4 linked regions of the Drosophila melanogaster genome follow. The protein of the gene in region 1 interacts with the protein of each later gene in a pairwise test. Each region holds a gene or a part of one and is shown in the gene's direction. Other genes may lie near its edges.

Region 1 (6,610 bases):
AGGCTCATCATGGTTTCTGTGTGGGAGGGGCTGGGGTCCTGCAACAGATTGGGCGTAAATCGTTAGCTATATCGGACTGCTCGGCCAGGGAAATGTGTTGATCTCGCGATTTACCGATGGCGCATTACGGAATAGCGAATGGCGCAAACAAAGCGTGGGCCAAAGCAGTAAATATATGTTAATAAATACAATAACAAACTTTGCACTAGTGTGTGTACACTTTTTGGGGCTGCTGATAAAAGCAACAACAACAAACAAAACACACACACACACCCAAACGCTTGCGAAATGTACATACGTGACTGAGAATCGTTTATTTGTACCTATTTGTATAGCTAACACCTCTGCCTCGGCCCTATCAATATACGCAGGACACCGCTGTTGACTAGTGGTTGGCTGCAAGGCGTTTATTAAACTGAATCCACGTAATGTTTAATGATATTTGGATTTCTTGTCGCGCAATTGTTTTTGCTCTGTTTTGCACACACACCAGCACCCACACAAAGGCAAGTGGGACAGCAACAGAGCAGAGCGAACCAGGGAGTGCTAATCGAGAGCAGAGTTGCATGCGCCAGTGCTGGAAAGGGCTGCGTCTGCACCTGAGCTGCATACATATTGAAAATCATTCACTTGCATTCAGGATAAGCATCTACCACGAAACTAATAAAACTAAATGCCATTGTTAGTTATTTTAGAGTAAAACATTATGCAAACGATTATATACATTACTATAAGTTTTATTTAAAAAATGAAATAAGTCTGTAAAGTAATTGCGGCAGTGTTTTAGTTCCGAAAAGCGAACCACCGAATCGTGAGCACGAGCCAGCATAGTCTGCATCCCTGGATAGGTGTTCAGTGTTTGCCAGCCCTGGTCAGGTCTGGTTCACCAAAAAAGAAAATAAAATTACATTTCAATCTTTCCAATATGCAAATATCTGCACGAAAACCAGCGAGAACAGCATGCTCACAATAAAGAGCCCCCAAACAATGTGACTCGTATCCGCGCAGAGTGACGTTTCGTGCCTTGCCCGAGTGCCAAATCCAAATCCCAATCCAGGCGCACAAAATCGATGCAGATGCTGTCTGCATTCTCATAGAAAGTGCAACTGAATAACCGATGGTCGCCAAAAGCCACGATGTCCAGTAATAATGACCAGTGAATAAACAATTATGACTCGAGCATCGAAAAATGCTGAGGAACGAATACATAAGCAATAACAAGAAGGTGCTCAACTCGGACCAAAACAAGTACTACATGCTAACGGTCGAGGAGGCCGATATGTATTGACGTTGTTACAGTGGAGCTGATTACACAAAAGATCCTCAGAACGATTTTATGTAAGTATGTAAACAGAGGCGGACAGGCCCACCTTGGGCCGCAATCACAATCTTCTGGCTTCGGCTTCCCTTGGGCTGATAAGAGCAGAGTGCTTAGTGCTGCTTATCTTTCATCTGCAACCTGGCCGATGTCGTCCGCCGTCTACTTACTACACCACTACTGCCCCCCATTGTCTTTGCTAGCGCGCGTTTTATACCCTGACACAGAGTTGACTGGGTGCAGCAACACACTAATTGTAGGAGCTTTACGATAGTAGGGATATATGACCATTTCCTGGCAGACAGATTATGTATATTGTATATGACTAGTCTAAATATAGACTCGTGTTCAGTGCCTAGCTGATAATGAGGTCAGAGTGCTGGCATTCCAATTGGTTGCCAATTGTTAGGGTATTAAAGCTTCGCTTCCACCACTGTCCCTTTTCGATTTTATTTTACTTCGCTTTTGCCTAATCAATGTCAGCACTGTGCGTCGTGATTTGTAGTACCTTCAGCTGGAAGGTACTCCACGCACAGTGCTGTTATCGCACTCACGGCGCGCGGTTCGGATTTCAGTTCATTTCTGTCCCGTACTTTTCCACGACCACCGATGAAGTTCTACGCGGGAGAAGGGTAAGCTATAGAGCTTGCATACGTTCACTTGTGAATCCGAGGATCGCATTCGAATTGCACTGGACGGACCGCCGTTTGTTTTGGTTTTTGCGCGGCTTAATTACAATTACGTTTTGCATTCATTAAGAATTCCGTGACCAGGTTTCATGCGACTAGCCCAGCACTGTGGGCTCCAATGGCACTACTCATTCATAAGTCCAGATAACAGCGTTGGAATTGTAAAGTACCCGTTTTTGGGTTCTATGTTTACCACTGTGCAGCGCGTTCTATTTGACATTAAACTAAAGCGATCTTTATCGCGGTGATTTGGCGAAATTGAACGTTTTTCCCACATTTCAACTCTTTACTTGTTCATTTCTCTCCGCATTTTGGGTTGATCCTCATATCGTACCATATCGTTTATCCTAAACCTTGTATCTCGAGTCCTCTATCTAATCAATCATTTTCTTGAAGTTCAAATCAAAGGCTTTAACTTGTTGAAACATATTTCTTATTTTATCCGCAACTCTTTTTTTCTCACCCAGCCAAGGCACGAACATGTCCGACGGCGTCAGCATCTTGCACATCAAACAGGAGGTGGACACTCCATCGGCGTCCTGCTTTAGTCCCAGCTCCAAGTCAACGGCCACGCAGAGTGGCACAAACGGCCTGAAATCCTCGCCCTCGGTTTCGCCGGAAAGGCAGCTCTGCAGCTCGACGACCTCTCTATCCTGCGATTTGCACAATGTATCCTTAAGCAATGATGGCGATAGTCTGAAAGGAAGTGGTACAAGTGGCGGCAATGGCGGAGGAGGAGGTGGTGGTACGAGTGGTGGAAATGCGACCAATGCGAGTGCCGGAGCTGGATCGGGATCCGTCAGGGACGAGCTCCGCCGATTGTGTTTGGTTTGTGGCGATGTGGCCAGTGGATTCCACTATGGTGTGGCGAGTTGTGAGGCTTGCAAAGCGTTCTTTAAACGCACCATCCAAGGCAACATCGAGTACACGTGTCCGGCGAACAACGAGTGTGAGATTAACAAGCGGAGACGCAAGGCCTGCCAAGCGTGTCGCTTCCAGAAATGTCTACTAATGGGCATGCTCAAGGTAATTTCATAGTCCCGAGTTAAAGTTCCTAAACTCTAATCGCTTTAACTTTTCAGGAGGGTGTGCGCTTGGATCGAGTTCGTGGAGGACGGCAGAAGTACCGAAGGAATCCTGTATCAAACTCTTACCAGACTATGCAGCTGCTATACCAATCCAACACCACCTCGCTGTGCGATGTCAAGATACTGGAGGTGCTCAATTCATATGAGCCGGATGCCTTGAGCGTCCAAACGCCGCCGCCGCAAGTCCACACGACTAGCATAACTAATGATGAGGCCTCATCCTCCTCGGGCAGCATAAAACTGGAGTCCAGCGTTGTTACGCCCAATGGGACTTGCATTTTCCAAAACAACAACAACAATGATCCCAATGAGATACTAAGCGTCCTTAGTGATATTTACGACAAGGAATTGGTCAGCGTCATTGGCTGGGCCAAGCAGATACCTGGCTTTATAGATCTGCCACTTAACGACCAGATGAAGCTTCTCCAGGTGTCGTGGGCAGAGATCCTGACGCTCCAGCTGACCTTCCGGTCCCTACCGTTCAATGGCAAGTTATGCTTCGCCACGGATGTCTGGATGGATGAACATTTGGCCAAGGAGTGCGGTTACACGGAGTTCTACTACCACTGCGTCCAGATCGCACAGCGCATGGAAAGAATATCGCCACGAAGGGAGGAGTACTACTTGCTAAAGGCGCTCCTGCTGGCCAACTGCGACATTCTGCTGGATGATCAGAGTTCCCTGCGCGCATTTCGTGATACGATTCTTAATTCTCTAAACGATGTGGTCTACTTGCTGCGTCATTCGTCGGCCGTGTCGCATCAGCAACAATTGCTGCTTTTGCTGCCTTCGCTGCGGCAGGCGGATGATATCCTGCGAAGATTTTGGCGTGGAATTGCACGCGATGAAGTCATTACCATGAAGAAACTGTTCCTCGAGATGCTCGAGCCGCTGGCCAGGTGAAAAGGATTATGCGGGCGCCCAAACTAGTTGATCTAGCTGATAAGCAAAGGTGCAAATATAGTCTTAGGTATATATGGATGTATACTAGAGTAGATTAAGCGTAGGATAAGCCATGTATATAAATAGTAAAATACTTGTCGGGTAAGATTAGTTCGCAGAAAAAATCTCTTTTAATGGACTACCAACTACAGCAACTGGAAAACCCTACTTATCTTCTAGAATCGGGGTGTGCTTACACTGGTTAAAGGCGCATATAGGTGTTATGTGTCTAAAGTTGTGAGTCACAGATCTTCAATAATTTGTTCAATTCTCACTGGTTCTGATATATGTATATGCCGCAACCTTCTGATGTAACGTATGAATTTGTGGGCACTTTTAAAATACGATAGTGGTTCTACAATACAATGGATTATACTGTTTCTAAGTGTCATGTAACCCAGTGATTCTGTGTCTATGTGGTACACATGCGGTCAAAAGAATAGCAATGTCGTCCGTGAATAATAAACCGTTTGTAACTGTTGTTTCCATACTCCCTAAGTTCTGTATTCTTTGGGGATTTTCTTTTCCTAAACAAATTCAAATTAGTTTTCTAGAATTCAGTGCATTTGATCGCATTTATACATCACTATTTCCTAATCCATACATAGGCTGATATATCGCAAAACTTCAAAAAATTAACCATGACAAAGGTATTCTGTGGTCCTTGAGGGCTTACAATTAGTGCTAACGATGGTCATATTTACATTTGCAGACTAGAGACGTTCCATCATCACCAATTAGAGCTAAGCCCAATTAATTCTACGGTGTATGTGTATCAAAGTACTTGTTGGAGCTTTCCTGAAAGCGATCGCTACGCGCCAATTCGTTGCGGAAGTAGGAGATGGTCCGCTGAAGTCCAGTCTCTAGGGGAACCTTTGGCTCCCAATGGAGCAACTGGCGGGCTCGAGTTATGTCCGGTTTTCTGCGCTGCGGATCATCTTCCATGGCCTTCGATTGCTTTATCACACTGGGCCCGCCGACCAGTTTCTTGATGATCTCGGCAAATTCGCCGATTGTCTGCTCCACAGGATTGCCTAAATTCACCGGCTGTGTGTAGTTGGATGCCATTAGGGCTATCATTCCGTCCACCAGATCCGAAACATACTGAAAGGAGCGCGTTTGTTTGCCATTTCCATACACCGTAATGGTTTCATTCCTCAGCGCCTGAAGTATAAAGTTTGACACCACTCGTCCATCGTTCATATGCATTCTCGGTCCATAAGTGTTAAAGATGCGCGCCACTCGGACTTGCACTTTCTCCTGTCGATACAGATACATTTAAAGAGCAATTAATTTGACTCCCAGATTGCTGGCCAAGATCAAAAAATGTGGTCAGTGCTCGCGCTTGGAAATCTTATCTCGCGTCAGCCAACCGAGCGGAACATCAATTAATAGCATTCCAATTGAGATCATTTAATGCTCAACTAGCGATCGAAACAGGAAAAATCTGCCACATTTCTGGATCTCAGCTAGTTTAATGTTTTTTTTTCGATCTGGCTTAGGAATGTGGTTATCCAAAAAAGTATATATATTGCTAAAGGTATTACCTGTTTGGCATACGCATAGCTCAGCGTCTCGGAGACACGCTTTCCCTCGTCATAACAGGCTCTCGGTCCAATAGGGTTTACATGTCCCCAGTATGTTTCTGGCTGCGGATGCACTGTGGGATCGCCGTACACTTCCGAAGTGCTAGCTATCAAAACCTTGGCCATCACGCGCTTGGCCAGACCTTTCAAAAAAGATATACTCGTTAGGTGTAATCCTTATTTTCTTTGATTGATATTATAAATATTTACCCAGTACATTGATCGTGCCCATGGTGTTGGTCTTGATGGTCTTCACCGGATTGTACATGTAATGCGGTGGCGAGGCTGGCGATGCCAAGTGGTAGATCTCATCGATCTCGATGAAAAGCGGATTCACTATGTCGTGGTGGATGAGCTCGAAGTTCTCGTGCCCCAGCCAGTGCTCGACATTTCGCTTGCGTCCCGTAAAGAAATTGTCCACCACGATGACCTCGTGCCCCTGGACCATCAGATCGTCGACCAAGTGGGAGCCCACGAAGCCAGCTCCTCCGGTAATTAGTATGCGTTTGCGATTCTTATAGTTCAGGTATTTAACCTTCGGATACTTGCGCGGTGTGCTGGTCTGGAGGCTACGAACTTGTTCCTCCAATCTGGCCAAATTCTCCCTTGTGCGCTGGAGTTCGGCCTTTTGTTCTCGAATAAGAGAGCTCTGCTCCTCGTACGCCATCTGAAGGCTCCTTTGTAGCGGACTTTCCGTGGGCGGCCATTTGGCCTGAACCTCCTCGACGCCGGGAACGGAAACGGCGACCTTTCCGCTTGGGCAGAAGCTGGCCATTCGGTAAAGGTAGACCAGGAGCAGGAGGAGCAGCGAGATGGCTGCAACGATCTTCAGACGCTTTTTGGTGGCAGTCATCGTCGGTTATGGGTTGTGTACTGCAGGGTTCCAGTGCTTATCAGCAACTGATATCGCCACATTGCATTCTCGTTCGGCTTTAGAAACTATATAAACAATACAATTGCGTTATCAGGAGGTGCCAGAGTGGCCAG
Region 2 (5,706 bases), on another chromosome or scaffold:
AAACGCAAACGGACTATGAAGAACCAAAAACTGTCCGTTTTCCGTTGAAAAAATATTCGAAGACTGAGCATGAAGAAAAAAGACCTAGAAAATCGAATACTTCATTGCGCAAATGTTTTTTCAAGCGCCCATTAATCGTAGTCAAAGGCGGCGCTCTTATATCTTCCGATTTTACAGCCAATATCCATCAAAGTAGAATGGAGAACGTATCTGTCACTACCAGAAAAGAAGATAAAGAAACACAATATGAAAACCATTTTGGGACACAATCAAATAGTTCAGACGATCAGCCTTCAGATCCTTCAACGTGTTCAAAAATCCTCGATAGAGTTCAGAAACTGGAAGCCATAATGAAGAGACAGGAGCTTTTTCTAAGGGATCTACAGGGCTCTGTGAAATCGTGGAAGGTCCAGGAATGCAAACCCTCTGATTGTAGGATCATATTTCAAGGTAAACCGGAAGCATGTGAATTGCCAAAAAAACTAGAAACATCTGATCAGGCATCACAGATAAACGATATACACGAGGAACGCAAATTGCCAATAAAACCGGAAGGTTTTAACCAGTCATCCCAGAAAAAATATACAGCTCGTTCCGAGGAACAAAAGTTGCCAATACAACCTGAACCTTTTAACCAGTCATCCCAGAAGAAATATACAGCTCGTTCCGAGGAACAAAAGTTGCCAATAAAACCTGAACCTTTTAACCAGTCATCCCAGAAAATATATACAGCTCGTTCCGAGGAGCGAAAATTGCCAAGAAAACCTGAAAATGTTGATCAGGCTACACAAAAAAAAGATACAGCTAATTGCGAGTGCAAAACGCTATCCAAAGAATTTATTCAAATATTTTTGAAGCCTGAAACTGCTCAAGAAAAGCAGAAATCAAATAATTCTCAACGCACCACAGATACCCCAATAAACTCGGAAAACTCAACTGGTCTACAATGCAGTAGAGAATGTAATGGAAGTTCTAGCAAAGACAATCGGAGATGTTGTAAGGCGAATGGATATGAAATGCATCTGAAAGGTGACCAATTCCCAACTGCTAAACAATGCTTAAAAGATACCGAAAATTTTCTAGAACAATTTAATCGGGTTTTTGCTAAAACAAAAAGCGAAGAAACACTTTCCGACAAGTCTAGAAATACTTCAGCTTTCTCTGCAAATCCCACGAAACAAAATGATACTGAACATGGGGTTGAAAACTTACTGGGTGAAATTGTTAAAAAACCCAAATCAAAGGTTTCCTCCACATCTTGCTTGGAGGCAAAGAGTTCCGAACAATCCAATAAAAGTGTAGAGAAGGAATTATACAAATCCTTTATTGAACAGCTTATTAGTCATTTCACAAAATCCAAGTCGTGTGAAAATAATCAGGCGCAGAATGCCCAATCAGAGTCCTACTCATTCGATCGCTTACTGCCGGAATTCGTAAAAATGTTTACGAGATCCAACAGCCTCGAGGAGGACAGACCCAAAAAAGTGAGCATATCAGAGAAGAAAACCATTTTGGGTGCCAATCCGATGACCAGCTTCAATTGTTCGAAAACTCCTCATAATATTAAATCCACTGCACTGAAATCGGAACTTAAGACGTCGGATATGGAATTGGATGCGAACGGACGTAGGGGTTCCTGTCAACTAGAAGGAGAATCTAAACCAAGTGCAATTTTTAGGAACACCCAGCGGATGAATAACCCGCCACGTGGTTGTCAATACTGTGGCGATGGCAGTCTGCCCATTCTGGATTCCTTGATGGATGAAATATTTCGGCTAATTGGGCAGCGGCCCTTCGATGACGTGGTCCTTACCATACTGCGTCAAGAGGATAATGTCTACCACATCAAGGTGCGTGAGATGGCAACCGGCAAGGACCTAGGCTGCATTCTGGGAAGTGGGAGGGCCATCAACCAAGCTATCGGGATAGGATTATTCGAGGACATTCCCACGTTCTGTGAGCTGGACAAAAACAGGCAGTACGATCCCAGGGACTGTCCACTGGACGAACTTTGCCGTCGGCAGTGCGGCGGTGAGATTGCACCAGATGGAAGTGCCGACAAGGAAAGGGTCGTCGAATTTTGCACTCGTGTGCTCGGTCTGCCCGCTGGACAAGCGTCCCGCTTCTTCTCCGTGACCAATGCCCTCAAAATGGGAAATCGAGAACTAACTGGCCGAGGAGCGGTCACTAGTAGCTTGGTTGACAATTTTTCTTCTAAGGATTTGAGCGATGTGGCCAAGACATCCAGTTTATTCCTACGCATTATTTCTGGCCAGTGTAATGACGTTCAAGATGATGAATAGGATTCATCATATGGGTTCGATAGCCATAATGCACTTTAGCTTTCATACCATTTAAATTTCCCTTAAGACTTTGTAACAACATTTTTCTAGAATTTTTTTTTATGAAAATATATTGTCTTATTTTATTAAATTATTTTCCTATGTAGAAATGTCGCAAACTTGCAATTCGCATTTATTGCCACTAAGCAGCTGCACATTGGGAAAATCCGCTCAATCAGCGTCCTTCGCAGGTAATACACAATTAGAACATTAGATCCCAGTATGAGCCGGACCAAGTTTTAATCCCTTCGAACTGACAGATGTTAGACATTAGAAAGCCTAGATAAAAGTATGGAGTTTACGGCAGGTAGAACCATTTAACTAAACCCATTTACATCTATAAAATAGCTTGCAGCGAGGAGGAGTTCATCAGTTTGCCAAGAACTCTTCACCTATCAAGACATTCAAACAAGACGCGTAGAAAAGAACCAAAGCCAAGCCAATTATATCAATTAAAACTTTGTTCAAATCTTTTCCGAACATATTTAAAACACATCCGCCATCATGAGCAACATCAGCAACGACAGTGGATTGGATGACTCCGCGAACAGTGGAGCCGTTGTCAGCGCCAATGGACCATTGGCAGCGACTCGGTTATCCTGGTTCCTGGCCGAAGTCGATGACGGCTTGATGAAGGATGGGAAGCCAAATGGTCGACGCCGTCTCTGCGTTCTCCATTCGATGGAACTCCTAGAGTCAGATGTTTCAGACAAATACATGACCCGATTCGTAGAATTCCGGGTCAATGGAATGGTGCTGGAGGCGAAACTCATACTGGCAGCGGATGAGAGGCGCCTGGTGGATGCAGCATTGCTGTCCATGAGCAAGGAGGAGAGGGAAGATGCCGGCGGCCAGCAACTGTTGGTCCAGTACACCGAGAATGAAAAGGCGGGCGAGCGCCTCATCCAGAAACTTGTTTCTCCAAACAATGTAATGCTGCTGAGCACCAAGCCCGAGCTGAAGGGTAATCCTCTGGTGAGGTTGGCTCCCGGCTGCATTGCCCACATCCTATATGCCTACGAAAGTCGTGATTATATGGAAAAGATACTACTGCACCTGAAAGCGCGAAGCTTTGATCTCGCCTTCGATGATAATTTGGAAGCTGAACCGGAGGCCATGAATGATGACACTTGGATGCTGGTGCAATACAGTCCCGAACCGGAGATGGTGGTATACCAGGTGGTGCAGTACAGACAAACCGTGTGGAGGAAAGAGAATCTCTTTAAGGACGTTATTGCCTACATGCAACTTCCTGGTAGCGACATCGTCCTCCAGGCGGTGGTCATCAGCTATGGCCAGGACAAAGAGGTCCAGGACGCGAAGTATGAGGAGTTGCAACGATTCTCTTTTGATATTGACTTTCCACTGCCCGAAGAACTGGAGAAGCACCCCGATCACATGACGTCCACCGCCCTCTTCTCGCGAACCAGCTTGTATCAGAAGGCGGAGCAGCGGGACACTACTGGAGAGCACAGGGAGTTGCGAAAAAGTCTGGAACAGATGAGCGAAAAGGCGCAGGGCGAGGCCCAAATGATCATAGATGCCTTCGACATGGTGGACAATATCAACAAGAATCTGCAGAGTCGTTTGTCCGGAGAGGTGCGATCGGTAGTGGAGGTCACATCCGGAGACGAACTTCATTAGTTGGCAAACACATCACATTTTCTTTATACATATATAGTCTACTAAGTTTCGTTGAAAGTTTAAAACTTAAATGGTAAATATTATTAGGCTAGAATTAAATACTAATTGTAAACTATATGTTTAGGTAATTTGAATAAATATATAAAGATCTGCAAATGATAAACGTATAAATATTTCTGTTTTTCACGTTTTATTCTGATTTTCGACATGTTAAACATGTTAAATATAAATATTTAAATTGACATATTTGTAAAAACAAGAAAAAAATATATTAAAATGGGGCAGTGCACTGGGGTGCAGGCGGGTGGGGGGCATGATCAAACGCAAGCATGTATGGTGCGTTGTGTACAATTATCAAAACGTGCATCATGACCGACGGCGGACCAACTCGTGGTTGTTGGACGAAAACGAACGATCCTGTCTGATGTATCATCAAAGGATTAGGCATCAACGGCCGGGTGGGTTCCATCCATCTAGAGGGCCCGAAAACAGGTGGCTGCTGTGCTGTTACGTTAACCGGACGAGGATCGGCCACCGGTGGTGGTGGCATCGAGGGAGCCGTACCAGGCATCGGGTCAGGGACGAATCCTTGCTGATCACCTTGTACCGACTGTCTCCCCATTTGGCTATTGTGGAGACGTTGGGGCCGCTTGCGAGCAAAGTCCCAGGCCTTGAATTCATCTGGTGGCAGTGGATGTAGATTATCGGAGGGCACATCAACCAGTTTTCCCTGCTCCTCGATAAACACTTTACAAACGGACTTCTTCTTATCGATCGATTGGATGTAACAAGCGCTGAGCAGATCGCGTCTATTGGTATCCAACTGCACCTGGCACTTAGCTCCCACCTTGAAGTTATAGTCGCCTATGTAAATACCAAATTCATACGCTTCACGACGAGCTTCAATCGCGCTAGTCAGCTCCACGTTACGATACCTACAGGGATCCATTGACTTGGCTACCAAATAGGAGAAGGGAATGTTGTTCTCCTCCAGAAGGATCCGCATGCAGGAAAAGTCGGCAAACTGTCCGCCCATTGCTAGCCTGCGATTATGAAACGGGCACATCTGGGAGTTTTCAAGCAAGCAAATGGTGCTCTCAGGGCGATCCAGCTTGAAGCTTCGTCCGTTGCGGCACAGCAAACGGATGGCGCGGCCGCGCGAGTCGAACTCATATTCAGTGCCCATTTTGAAGGTATCTGGATACAGCATCCATTCCACAGCGAGATCAACATCTGGCAGGCGGAACAGGTGCTTGTAAAGCATCTTGAAGGACACAGACTGGCAAACGGCGGCCATATCGACGTCCTGCATAGTCAGCACGGTTTCAAAATGCCCCATGCTGTTCATAAAGATACGTAGGATCTCCTTGTAGTCCTTGTTGTAGGTGACCATCCGGCCCATATCGAAGGGTTCGTAGATGATGACATTGCGGCGGTACAGGTGGCACATGGCACCCAGTTCCAGTATGGTGCCCGCCGTCTTGGTCTTGCCCAAATGCCACAAGTACTCGTCGAAGTCTCCACTCACAAATCGCCGGAAGGTCTTCCATTTCGTGAACATATAGCGAACGCACTCCATCCTCACTTCGTAATGAAGCATCTGGGTGTCGTACACCTGCTCAGCGACCACTCGAAACAGACTCGAGGCATCCCCTAGCATATGCTTCCGAAAGAGTTGACGTCGCTCCAGGAACCGATCTATTGGATCTCTTGCCTCTGT
Region 3 (6,049 bases), on another chromosome or scaffold:
TGTAAGACAGCTCTTATTGCGCATTTTGTGATTCCCGAGTCGTAGTCTTCCCCCAGAAACTTTCACTTATCCATTCCTTGACCAGGCCAAGTGCTTGAGCTAATATATATATACGTATGTACATATATACATATGCACCTCTGTATGCACATAATAATCCCTCTTTAAAATCTGTATACATTTTGGATATTTGCCAATGGCTGAACATTTTTAGCGAAATCGAAATACGTGCATTTAGTATTTTCGAGCCAAAATATGGTTGATTTCTCTATTATCCACCGCCCCTGCATTTTTCCAACCCCCCTTTTCACTTTTCTCGCCAACTACATTACACAATTTTTGAAATGGAAATGGTGTGATGAAATAGCAAATTCCTTGGCCGATTGAAAGTGCAATCTTAAGAAAAACTATACAGTATTAGTTATTAAATAAACGTATTAACTAAATCATGAGACTCCAAATGCTTTGCTTCCCTTTTTAATTTGCGTTAAATTTATGTGGAAAATAAAAGTGATTATTTTAATAAGTGGAAATTCCAGAGGGTTAATTTTTTGAATGATAAAGAGTCCTTTGGTGAAATTCAACGGATGTGCTAAATGCGAGGATAATAATCGACATATGTATGCACATATGTACGTTTATGAAATAAATCATCCACAAGGTCGTGGAGTTTGCATTTCACCACTTTTGTTGCATCATTCAGGGGTGCGAAACATTCAAGGTCATTTGCAACAAAAATTTATGCTACAATTTATGCAAGGGCGACTGTTGCATGTTAATTTGAATTTACTTCCGGGCATATATTTTATTAAAATATGCGTGACAACCGAAAATAGCTGACCCACAAAGCCAGTGAGCCACTTTTTCCGCCCCGGAGCTGGCATTCTACCCCATTTTCCGCCTCATTCCTCTTAATTTGGCCCGCTGTCTAGTCTCATTTTTTGGCCATCAGAGGTCCGAGCAACAATTACCCGCAGACACAACAGCCATGATGAGTGTGCTGGGCGAGGAGCACCCACTCGATTCGCCCACCCAACCACCTCCTGCCCCGCCCACTGGCCGCCCCTTTTTGTGAATGGCATCCGAGGAGTGGAGGACTGCGCAGAATCCTCTCTATCGATTAAAGCCCAACGCAGACAGCTCTCTCTAATAAAACTTGGGATAGGGCATGGGGATGGGTTTCTGGGATGTGCGATGTGGGCTGTGGGATGGATGATGTGATGCGGATGTGGAATCAACTGCGTAGTAGTCAAAAGTCAAGTTGAAGGGGGTCTTTTGGGGGTGTGGCACCTGCTGCTGATGCTGCCACGCCACTGCTGCTGGTGGGATAATGTTCGAGATGCTTAATGCGCAATTTAGTTTGGGGTATGTGCACATGGGGATACGACGAAGTGTAGGTCAGTTTGGACACTTTCTCTCTTTGGACCCATCCTCTCTTGCTGAGACTCTTTGTTTCCTTGCCCTTTCCATCGAAATTCTCTCGCTGAATTATAATCGAAAATTGCATGCGAAAGTTTTATCCTTGGCACCAAAATAGTGCATTGGCCCCTCTTTTTTCAATGCTGTCCAATAGCGCAAGTGACGCTCGCTAAGAATGACGAGGTCTCAGTGGGGCAGAGGGTTTTAAATGCACTCTGAATTAAATGTATATATTATGTTTATACTACTAAAAGTATTGCTTAAAAAATCCAGATATCTCTAACCTATTATGTTCTATTACATTACAAAATTCACATATATTTGGACTTTTAGTTACATCACTATAATACAATATAAAGTTTTAAATAGAGCTCAGTAGACTTTGGATATACAGCCATTACTATCTAGTAAAGTAACACCTTCCAAACACAATTCATAGCGCCTGGAGCTAACTCAAATCTATCATTCGTTCACATTTTGTATACGACTAAAATGGTGGTTGTACAGGGAATGTACGAAGTCACGGAGCTGGTGGCTGGCAGCGTGGGATGCGTGTGTCTATACATCGCCGGATGCAATGTGCTGCCCATGGAGCATATTCCCGATCTTCCGTCGGCGCTGTTCGTCCTGACCGCCGTGCTTTTTCTCCATCATCTGAGGGTAATGAATTGCGCACCGCTGCAGAAGCTTTGGCTTTTGCTGCTGGAACTGTTGGTCTTCTATATGTGCACCCAGGTCGTGGTGCTTGTGTGGCTCCAGTTGCTCAGCCATATGAATAAACTGCGGGACAATGCAGTTAATACTCGTACCGGCATGTACCTTTTTGAAGCCTATCCAAAAGTCTTTATGTTTTTGCGCCAAGATGTCTACTATTTGGGGCAGCTTATCATGTCCGTGGCGTGCACCTACAAGGCGATAATGGTCACTCATGCCCTGGACTACGCCCTACCAAATCGCCGGACGTACAGATACTATGAGACAGATGAGAACTTAGGCGATGGTCCGCGGCGTCCTACCCGAAAGAGCAACCAGCGATCAACACCCAAGAAGAGCACCGTGCGTGGTCGCAAAAAATAGAAGCTGTCGCAGAAACTGGATCAATCAAATCGCCCAATCTAAACACAGTTTTTCTATGCTTTCGATCATTGAATTAGCCCACAAAACACGCGTAATAAATTATCAAGGTAAACGGCGGCCCGGGTGCATTGCACCCAAATCGAAGGTGCTGCTCAAGAGCAGTTTACGCTTTACTAGAAATTTGCATGCTTGAAAGAGCAGAGCCAACACGTACACACAAAACCAACTTATTTTCAAATTTTGGCGCCTCGCGACAATCGATTAACGGACAACATCATCAAGATCAGCCAATCGTATGAATTCCACCTCTAACACCAGAGAATATTGAGAAGAAGAAGAGCGTTGTGTCGGATCTAAACAATAAAGAAATTAAGCAATTAGCCGAAATTTTGTTGTTTTTCGGTTGAAGGGGGTTTAATTCCGAGTGGGGGGAAGAGATGGCATTTCTTTGCCCCGTGCGCATGAGGCGCGACAAGAAGAAAGGTGTGTTCATAGAAAGCGGAAGAAGCAGCACGGAAACAAAAGACTTCAATCACGAACTTGTTGTAGGAACTTAAAAAAATTGAAATTGTTTAAATCTGTTTATTGGTGCATTTATTTTGTATATCAATGTACAAGAATTCTTTTTGAATTAAATATTTGTATTCAAGTTTTTTTTCTTGAAACTATATTATGATTGAATGCATAAGATATACATTTTATTTTAAATTTAATTAAATACGACATATATTGTACCTAAATAAGCATTTTCAAAATACTCCCTTTTCAGCTACAAATGCCAGCATTGAGAGGGACTTACCAGCTGTGGGTGTATTGGGCATGGGCCGCATAACTGGTTCCTCCAGCATTGAAACACTTGTAAGAGTGGGCATTGAAAAGGAACACGGTCTAAGGTAAGTCGATCCCATCCATTATCAGTTTAAATAGTCTGTACAATATTAATTCTATTTTAGTCCTGATTCCAAGATGGTTGTGCTGCACGACTTTACTCCTTGCGTGGATGATGAACTAGAGGTGAAGCGTGGACAGCTGGTTAATATCTTGTACAGAGAGAACGATTGGGTCTACGTGATTGGTCAGGACTCTAGGCAGGAGGGTTTCATACCCTTCTCTTATTGTGCTCCCTGCAACACGCAACTGGCGGATTTGGCTGTTAAGAAGAAACTGCCAAGGGAACAGTGTCCAGAGCAGCCGATCGAAGAGAATATACCACTTTTGGGCACGGATAACAAGCTGGATGTTCTTTGCGATGAAACCTTGAATCCTGGCTCCGCCAACAGCATAGAGAACACCCTGCTGGTGGAGCCAGAGTGTACTCCTTTCGTGAAGGAACCCTCCGGGCGCTGTATCGTCTTGTACACCTTTATAGCCAGGGACGAGAATGATTTGTCTGTGGAACGGGGTGAATTTGTTACCGTGCTAAATCGCGAGGATCCCGATTGGTTTTGGATAATGCGCAGTGATGGCCAGGAAGGATTTGTGCCAGCCAGCTTTATTTATCCTGCAGACAGTGTACGAGTTTTGCAGCAACAGAAAGCCACTTTAAATGCCATGGAGACCATTTTGCAGCAGGGTCAACAAGGTCAGCAGAGCCAGCAACAGCAGCAGCCTCAATTGGGCTTGGGAACAGATGATCTACGCTACCATGGCACGGAGCTGGTGATGCTGTATGATTACAAAGCGCAAGCTCCAGACGATCTGTACCTTTCTGTGCGGAGAGGAGATTGGATTTACGCAGACTTAACCAATCAGACTGTTGATGGCTGGCTTTGGGCTTATGCTCCGAAAACCCGCAAATATGGATTCATCCCGAAAGCCTATGCCCGACCACCCGCGATGACCAGCCTTTAAGAAATAGATTCAATACCATAATCGTTTTAATTATCACTTCGACTAACACTAAAGCGTAATATTCGTAAGTCTTCCAAACACAGTCGAATTGCATTTCGAAAAGCGTTTCTTTGTGGCTTGGATATTTTTATCTTGAACACTAAATTAATTTTCAACTCATAAATGCCATTTTCATTGAGTAATAAATTGTGCCTTAGATTTATTTTGTATGTGAGTTTGCATAACATATCGTATACACTTAGTCTAGTGATTTCATTCTTAACTGTAAGTGCCTCGTAAACGAATATCAAAAATATCTACTATCGTATTCCATATAGTACCAGCGTGGGCAGCACTTTGCTAGCATCTAGGTCTAGATATGAATACTAAAGCACTGTAGGGGCCAACCCCTCGATATGCACTTGGTTTGTATTATTGTATTGGATTTGCATCCAAGCGGCGCAGTTGCGTAGAGTTATGCTCAGCATAATGTTGTACGCACACGCACGTCCAACTGGATTTTGGTTATCACCTCCGATTGGCGAAGGTCTACTTTATTCCCAAACTGTCGCTAGCTGAGGAGCAGTGCGAGCAATTAAGCTCCATATTTCTGTAGAGAGAGATTGGCTAATGAGATTTTTGCATTTGTAAAAGAAATTGTTATCCTACTTCATAGCTTCTCTCAGCTGCTCCTTCTCGTTCATCTCCTCGCGCAGTTTCTGCTGCAAACTGAGAATGAGATCGTTTTTATTTCGAATCTGCAGCTTCAGATGCTCAATTGTCTCCTCCTGAGCTTCGAAAATTGCCTAGAAGTAAATGAAATCTTATATAGATTTGATAAATACATGAAAAAGAAATCATCCTACACGACACTCCTCCATGGATTCAGAGTACGAAGGCGGCTCGTCCAGGCAGAAGAACTCCCGAACCAGTTTGCACTTTCGCAGCTCCTCCTTGGCCATCACTGAGTTGACGAAGATCTGCAGACCTTGCACCCGATTGTCGAGAAAGACGGCATTGAAGTTATCGCCGAAAAGCTTCTTCCGGGGCAGCATGAGCGTAAGGTTGGGAAAAGCCTGCTTTAGCTTGCTATTGAGCCGCACGAAGTCGGTGTAGCGTCGCATAACAAGCCAATAGTCGTTGGTCTCCGGATTCTCGACTCGCAGCTTGTAGGCAGTGAAACGCGCACGTTCCTCCATAACCTCGTAACCAATAATGGGCACCCTTAGCACAGCGTTGGGGTCCACGGGCGGCACCACCGATCCCGAGGAGAGAGTCATCTGGCTGGCGAACATAGAGTTGGAGCCAGTGTGCCGGGAGCTGGATTGGCTGTAGCCCAAGCTGCACTCGCTCATCCGCCGAGGAGTTCTAGACCTGGATTCCAAATCCACGGAATGTCCACCTGCCTGGTTGCCATAGGACGACTGCGTCAGGTCGCGATGGGAACGTGCACCGCCGAGCATTTCGCTTTTGTTTATCGGCGTTCTCGGAGATTGTTCGTAACTGTGAGAGCTAATCCTTTGCAGGCAAACCTCTGACTTGGCGTTTGCCACCGTCAATGGAGCACCGGAGTTACTGGCCAGGATTAAACTAACATCCCCCTCCGATTTGCTGCGCAACAGGCTGTTGTTTTGGTATTTTCCGATTTGTCGTAGGTCAGGACTCGAGTGGCACTTGCGACCGAGTAGCTTCTGCTCCCGGAACTGACTCCGTTTGTCCAATC
Region 4 (4,440 bases), on another chromosome or scaffold:
GCAAATCGCTCCAAGCCAATGCTGAGGGCATAGGATGGGTTGATATTCGATATCCACTCCTGCTGCTACTTCCACTTAGATTGTACTTTTCGTCGTAACGCTATTTTTTTCTACCAATACATAACTGAATACTGAGTGATGATCCGCTGGAATCCACACCAGATGCCAGTCAGTGGAGCTATGACCAGGACTAGTGCAAGCGCTGAACTTGTAAAAATTATTTCCTAAGCGAAAAGTAGTACATAGGGTTTGTATAGTGATTAAATTAAAACTTTTAATTAGAGCGTGTACGATCGATATCGATATCTTAATTTCGGTTTTCATTTTTAACAAAAAATTATAAACACAAAGCGTAATGGATAAATGTCTTTTGTCGACGCTGCTCACGGGTTTACAAATCAGCACTTCATTTATTTTATTTTTAATAATAATAATTATTAATAAATTATTATAATTAATTTATAATAATTCACGGCGCGCTTTATTAATTAGTGTTTGTTGTGAGTGTTTTATTTCTCCATGTATGAATCGTATAAAAAGAACAAGAGCGAGCGGCGGTTAATTCTGATCGGTTGACTCCTTGGCCTCGGCCTCAGCATCCTCGTCGCCCTCCTCAACGGGCGGCACAGGGACATCGGCGCTGCTATCGGGCTGGACGATCACCTTCTTGGGACTCGGGCCGTAGCTGTCTGCCTCTGCTGAAATGGCACCAGACGGTCCGGGAGCAGCATCCTCATCCTCGTCGTCGTGAGTCGTCGACTCCGGTTGCAAGCTAGCCGCTGCCTCAGAGGCGACGCCGTTTTTCGCTTCCTCTACGGAACACTCCTCGGGATGTGAGACCTTGCGCTTGGCAATCCGTTCGCTGAGCGCCTTGTGTAGCTGGGCAATGTCCGCCGGTCGGCCCATGGCCAGGAAGATCTTGACAACGCCAGAGTTGTCGATGGCCGTTAGTCGTAGGGACTTTTGGCTGGCTCGCTCCGCCACCATGGCGGCCCAGACTTTGGTGTTGAGAAGCAGGCGCAGATTGCCAGAAGTGCGGAACACCACGCGCGAGTCGCCCCTTAAGTCCTTGGCGTCGTTTAAGCGCAGACTGCCGCGACCACGCTCCTCCCAGTTGCTGTTAAGAAAGGCGAATAGCTTGCAGCTCACGTCGATAATGTTGATCTCGTCCTCCTCGCCGGTGAAGGTCTCGACCTCCTCGTATTTGCGTTTCTGAGCGCGGCTCTCCTCATACTCCCGGGCCACATCCGTCAGGCTCTTGGCCTCGGCGGACTCCTTGTTGTTGCTGCTGCTGCTGCAAATGGATGAGGAGGCAGCGGCCTCGCTGGTCTCTGTGGTCTGGGCAGCGTTCTGAATGACGCTTGAGAAGAGCAATGGCGCCGAGGACGACGTAGCAGCGGTGGAGGAGGAGGCAGCCTCCTGGGCTGATACCGAGCTGGCTGCCGTATCTGCATCCGGCTCAGCGGTGACCTGTTCAGCATTGGGGGCCACCACACGTTCATGCACATTCTGGCCGAAGACGAACCCGCTGGACTGAACATTTGGCATGTTGTTCTTGGCTGCTGCAAACATGCTGGAGCGCTCAATGCCATTGCTACGCAGCTTGGTCAGCGGATCCGGCCGCTCGTCGACATCGTCGTCCTCCTTGTCGCCAGTGGACTCGGCTGCCGCAGATCCGGTGGCCACCACCTCCTCGTCATCGTCGTCGTCCTTGGACTCGCGCAGAAACGGATTATTCAGCAGGGCGCTGTCTTCACCTGCACTTGGGGATGTGGAACTATTGTTGGAGCCGCTGCTGTTTGCCAAGACTGCTGGGCGCAGGACAGCACCGCCCAGGCGAGAAGCCTTCAAGGTGAAGCCACCTCGGAAACAGTTAGTTTCGACTGACGCTTCTGGAAACAAGGGGGAAAAAACAAGACTCGTTTGTCAGTTTGTTGCGAACTCTTCAAGGGCACAAGATTCGCGATATTTGGCAACTTTAAGTTATAGCAAGCATTACAGCTTGTTTTGCTACGCTTACCATTATTTTCAGACATTGCAAACTAGTCTACTTGCAATTTTAAAATATAAATTGCCAAATCTTTTACAGAATAGAGCGTTCTGTGTAAAGCCTGCCGTATTGTTATCGCTGTGTTATCGCTGTCACTATCGATAAGCGCCGGCGATGGCGCTCTGTTGTCAACACTGACTTTTTCAGTGTTGCTTACTTGCCGCTGAAAAACAAGAAATTTACAAGTCATCGACAGAGTGTTTGCCCAAAAAGATCGGCAATAATAGCATTTTAACAAAGAATTACATTCAGCAACGGCTAATCAACAATCGTATTAGACATGGCTCAGACTCTGGAGGATAAGTCAATCTGGGAGGACGGGGAGGAGTCCCTGGGCGAGGAGGTGATGCGTATGTCCACCGATGAAATTGTGAGCAGGACTCGCCTGATGGACAACGAGATCAAGATCATGAAGAGCGAAGTGATACGCATAACGCACGAGATTCAGGCGCAAAATGAGAAGATCAAGGACAACACCGAAAAGATCAAGGTAGGGATGACAATGAAACGCCACCCTGCCAAATAGCCTCATTTGTTAAGTACTTCCCCATTAGGTCAACAAGACACTGCCCTACCTGGTGTCCAATGTAATAGAGCTGCTGGATGTGGATCCACAGGAGGAGGAGGACGACGGCTCCGTCACCGTTCTGGACAACCAGCGAAAGGGCAAGTGCGCCGTCATCAAAACATCCACTCGACAGGCGTATTTCCTGCCCGTCATCGGCCTGGTTGATGCCGAGAAACTGAAGCCAGGTGATCTGGTCGGAGTCAACAAAGACTCCTATTTGATCCTGGAAACCCTGCCGGCAGAGTATGATGCCCGCGTAAAAGCCATGGAAGTGGACGAGCGACCTACAGAGCAGTACTCCGACATTGGAGGTTTGGACAAGCAGATACAGGAGCTCATCGAGGCAGTGGTGCTGCCCATGACGCACAAGGAGAAGTTCAAAAACCTTGGCATTCACCCACCCAAAGGTGGGTATCTCACTCGAACAAATGTCACACAACCATATTAATCCTTGCCATTTACAGGTGTCCTTTTGTACGGCCCCCCTGGAACTGGCAAAACATTGCTGGCCCGTGCCTGCGCCGCTCAGACAAAGTCCACCTTCCTCAAGCTGGCAGGTCCCCAGTTGGTGCAAATGTTCATCGGTGATGGTGCCAAGCTGGTGCGCGATGCCTTCGCCTTGGCCAAGGAGAAGGCGCCTGCCATTATCTTCATTGACGAGTTGGACGCCATTGGCACCAAGCGTTTCGATTCGGAGAAGGCCGGTGACCGTGAGGTCCAGCGAACTATGTTGGAGCTTCTTAATCAGCTCGATGGCTTCAGTTCCACTGCAGATATTAAGGTGATTGCGGCCACCAATCGCGTAGACATTCTGGATCCTGCTCTGCTGCGCTCTGGTCGTCTGGATCGTAAGATCGAGTTCCCACATCCCAACGAGGAAGCCCGTGCCCGTATTATGCAGATTCACTCGCGTAAAATGAACGTTAGCAATGATGTGAATTTCGAGGAATTGTCCCGATCCACGGATGACTTCAACGGCGCCCAGTGCAAAGCCGTCTGTGTGGAAGCTGGTATGATCGCACTGCGTCGCTCCGCCAATTCGGTTACGCACGAAGACTTCATGGACGCCATCATGGAAGTGCAGGCGAAGAAGAAGGCTAATCTTAACTACTACGCTTAGACTAAAAATTTGCAGTTTAACTTCACATTGTCAGCTCCCATTAAAATAAACCATGGAAATGTAAAATTTTTCAGTTTCGATCTGAGTTGCCCCTTGAAGATCGCCTTTAAAATAACATCGCAACGGCTCTTAAAAGTAACTAGAATGGGAGACGTACTGAAATCAATACCCAACCTTTTTAAAATAAACAAAAATATATATCAAATGTCGAGCGATTCATTGGTTTATCAGTACAACATTTACATTCTGAGTACGATATTTTTTAAATATCTAAAAAGGTCGGTTTTAGAATTAATAAAAAATATTACATCGGGCGAAATTAGATGATAAATATTTACACGCACACTAATTAACCTAGAGGGATGATTTACCAAGTTACTAAGACTAACCAGTGGGATCGAGTGTGTTAGCGCCATCCGGCGCCGCAGATGTCGTGCCACTTCCCCCTTGTGACGCTGCATCGACAAGGGACGTGGCAGTGGTTGATGAGGTTTCCGTAGAGGAGGACGCGGCCACAGCATCGTGAGATGAAACTGCGGCGGCAGGTGGTGTGACGCCCACACCTTCGACCACTGCGGCTACAGGTGCTGCTTCCGCTCCAACCGGCGCCAAGTTAACTGGCGCAGCAGCAATGTCATCTGCAGCTGGCTGCTGTGCCGGCTGATCCGGCTGCTGAAATGGACGCCTCATGTACATGATGAT

Evidence for each region.
Region 2: the proteins of ERR (region 1) and Elba3 interact in a two-hybrid assay, tested with the Drosophila melanogaster proteins (one large-scale study listed by BioGRID).
Region 3: the proteins of ERR (region 1) and Dlish interact in a two-hybrid assay, tested with the Drosophila melanogaster proteins (one large-scale study listed by BioGRID).
Region 4: the proteins of ERR (region 1) and Rpt5 interact in a two-hybrid assay, tested with the Drosophila melanogaster proteins (one large-scale study listed by BioGRID).

What each region holds. Positions count from the first base shown.
Region 1 is NT_037436.4:8,180,907-8,187,516, reverse strand, and holds ERR (estrogen-related receptor), read left to right. Parts: upstream 1-1,846; 5' UTR 1,847-1,927; coding exon 1,928-1,950; intron 1,951-2,295; exon of another isoform or gene 2,296-2,474; coding exon 2,475-3,033; exon of another isoform or gene 3,034-3,089; coding exon 3,090-3,998; 3' UTR 3,999-4,156; downstream 4,157-6,610. Other genes in the region: Atg18a (Autophagy-related 18a), read right to left, coding at 1-11; Uxs (UDP-xylose synthase), read right to left, coding at 4,797-5,297, 5,585-5,766, 5,834-6,476.
Region 2 is NT_033779.5:4,684,803-4,690,508, forward strand, and holds Elba3 (early boundary activity 3), read left to right. Parts: upstream 1-2,708; 5' UTR 2,709-2,846; coding exon 2,847-3,986; 3' UTR 3,987-4,154; downstream 4,155-5,706. Other genes in the region: CG11929 (uncharacterized protein), read left to right, coding at 1-2,303; CG3251 (uncharacterized protein), read right to left, coding at 4,258-5,702. UniProt on the Drosophila melanogaster protein: The heterotrimeric Elba complex is required for chromatin domain boundary function during early embryogenesis.
Region 3 is NT_033778.4:17,720,507-17,726,555, forward strand, and holds Dlish (dachs ligand with SH3s), read left to right. Parts: upstream 1-2,802; 5' UTR 2,803-2,933; coding exon 2,934-2,979; intron 2,980-3,265; coding exon 3,266-3,389; intron 3,390-3,449; coding exon 3,450-4,347; 3' UTR 4,348-4,550; downstream 4,551-6,049. Other genes in the region: CG10934 (uncharacterized protein), read left to right, coding at 1,912-2,496; Snx16 (sorting nexin 16), read right to left, coding at 4,876-4,936, 4,996-5,132, 5,193-6,049. UniProt on the Drosophila melanogaster protein: Required for the apical cell cortex localization, total cellular level and full activity of dachs.
Region 4 is NT_033777.3:23,750,684-23,755,123, forward strand, and holds Rpt5 (regulatory particle triple-A ATPase 5), read left to right. Parts: upstream 1-2,192; 5' UTR 2,193-2,330; coding exon 2,331-2,540; intron 2,541-2,604; coding exon 2,605-3,025; intron 3,026-3,082; coding exon 3,083-3,738; 3' UTR 3,739-3,940; downstream 3,941-4,440. Other genes in the region: RanBP3 (Ran binding protein 3), read right to left, coding at 559-1,892, 2,021-2,036; Hrd3 (HMG-coA reductase degradation 3), read right to left, coding at 4,123-4,440.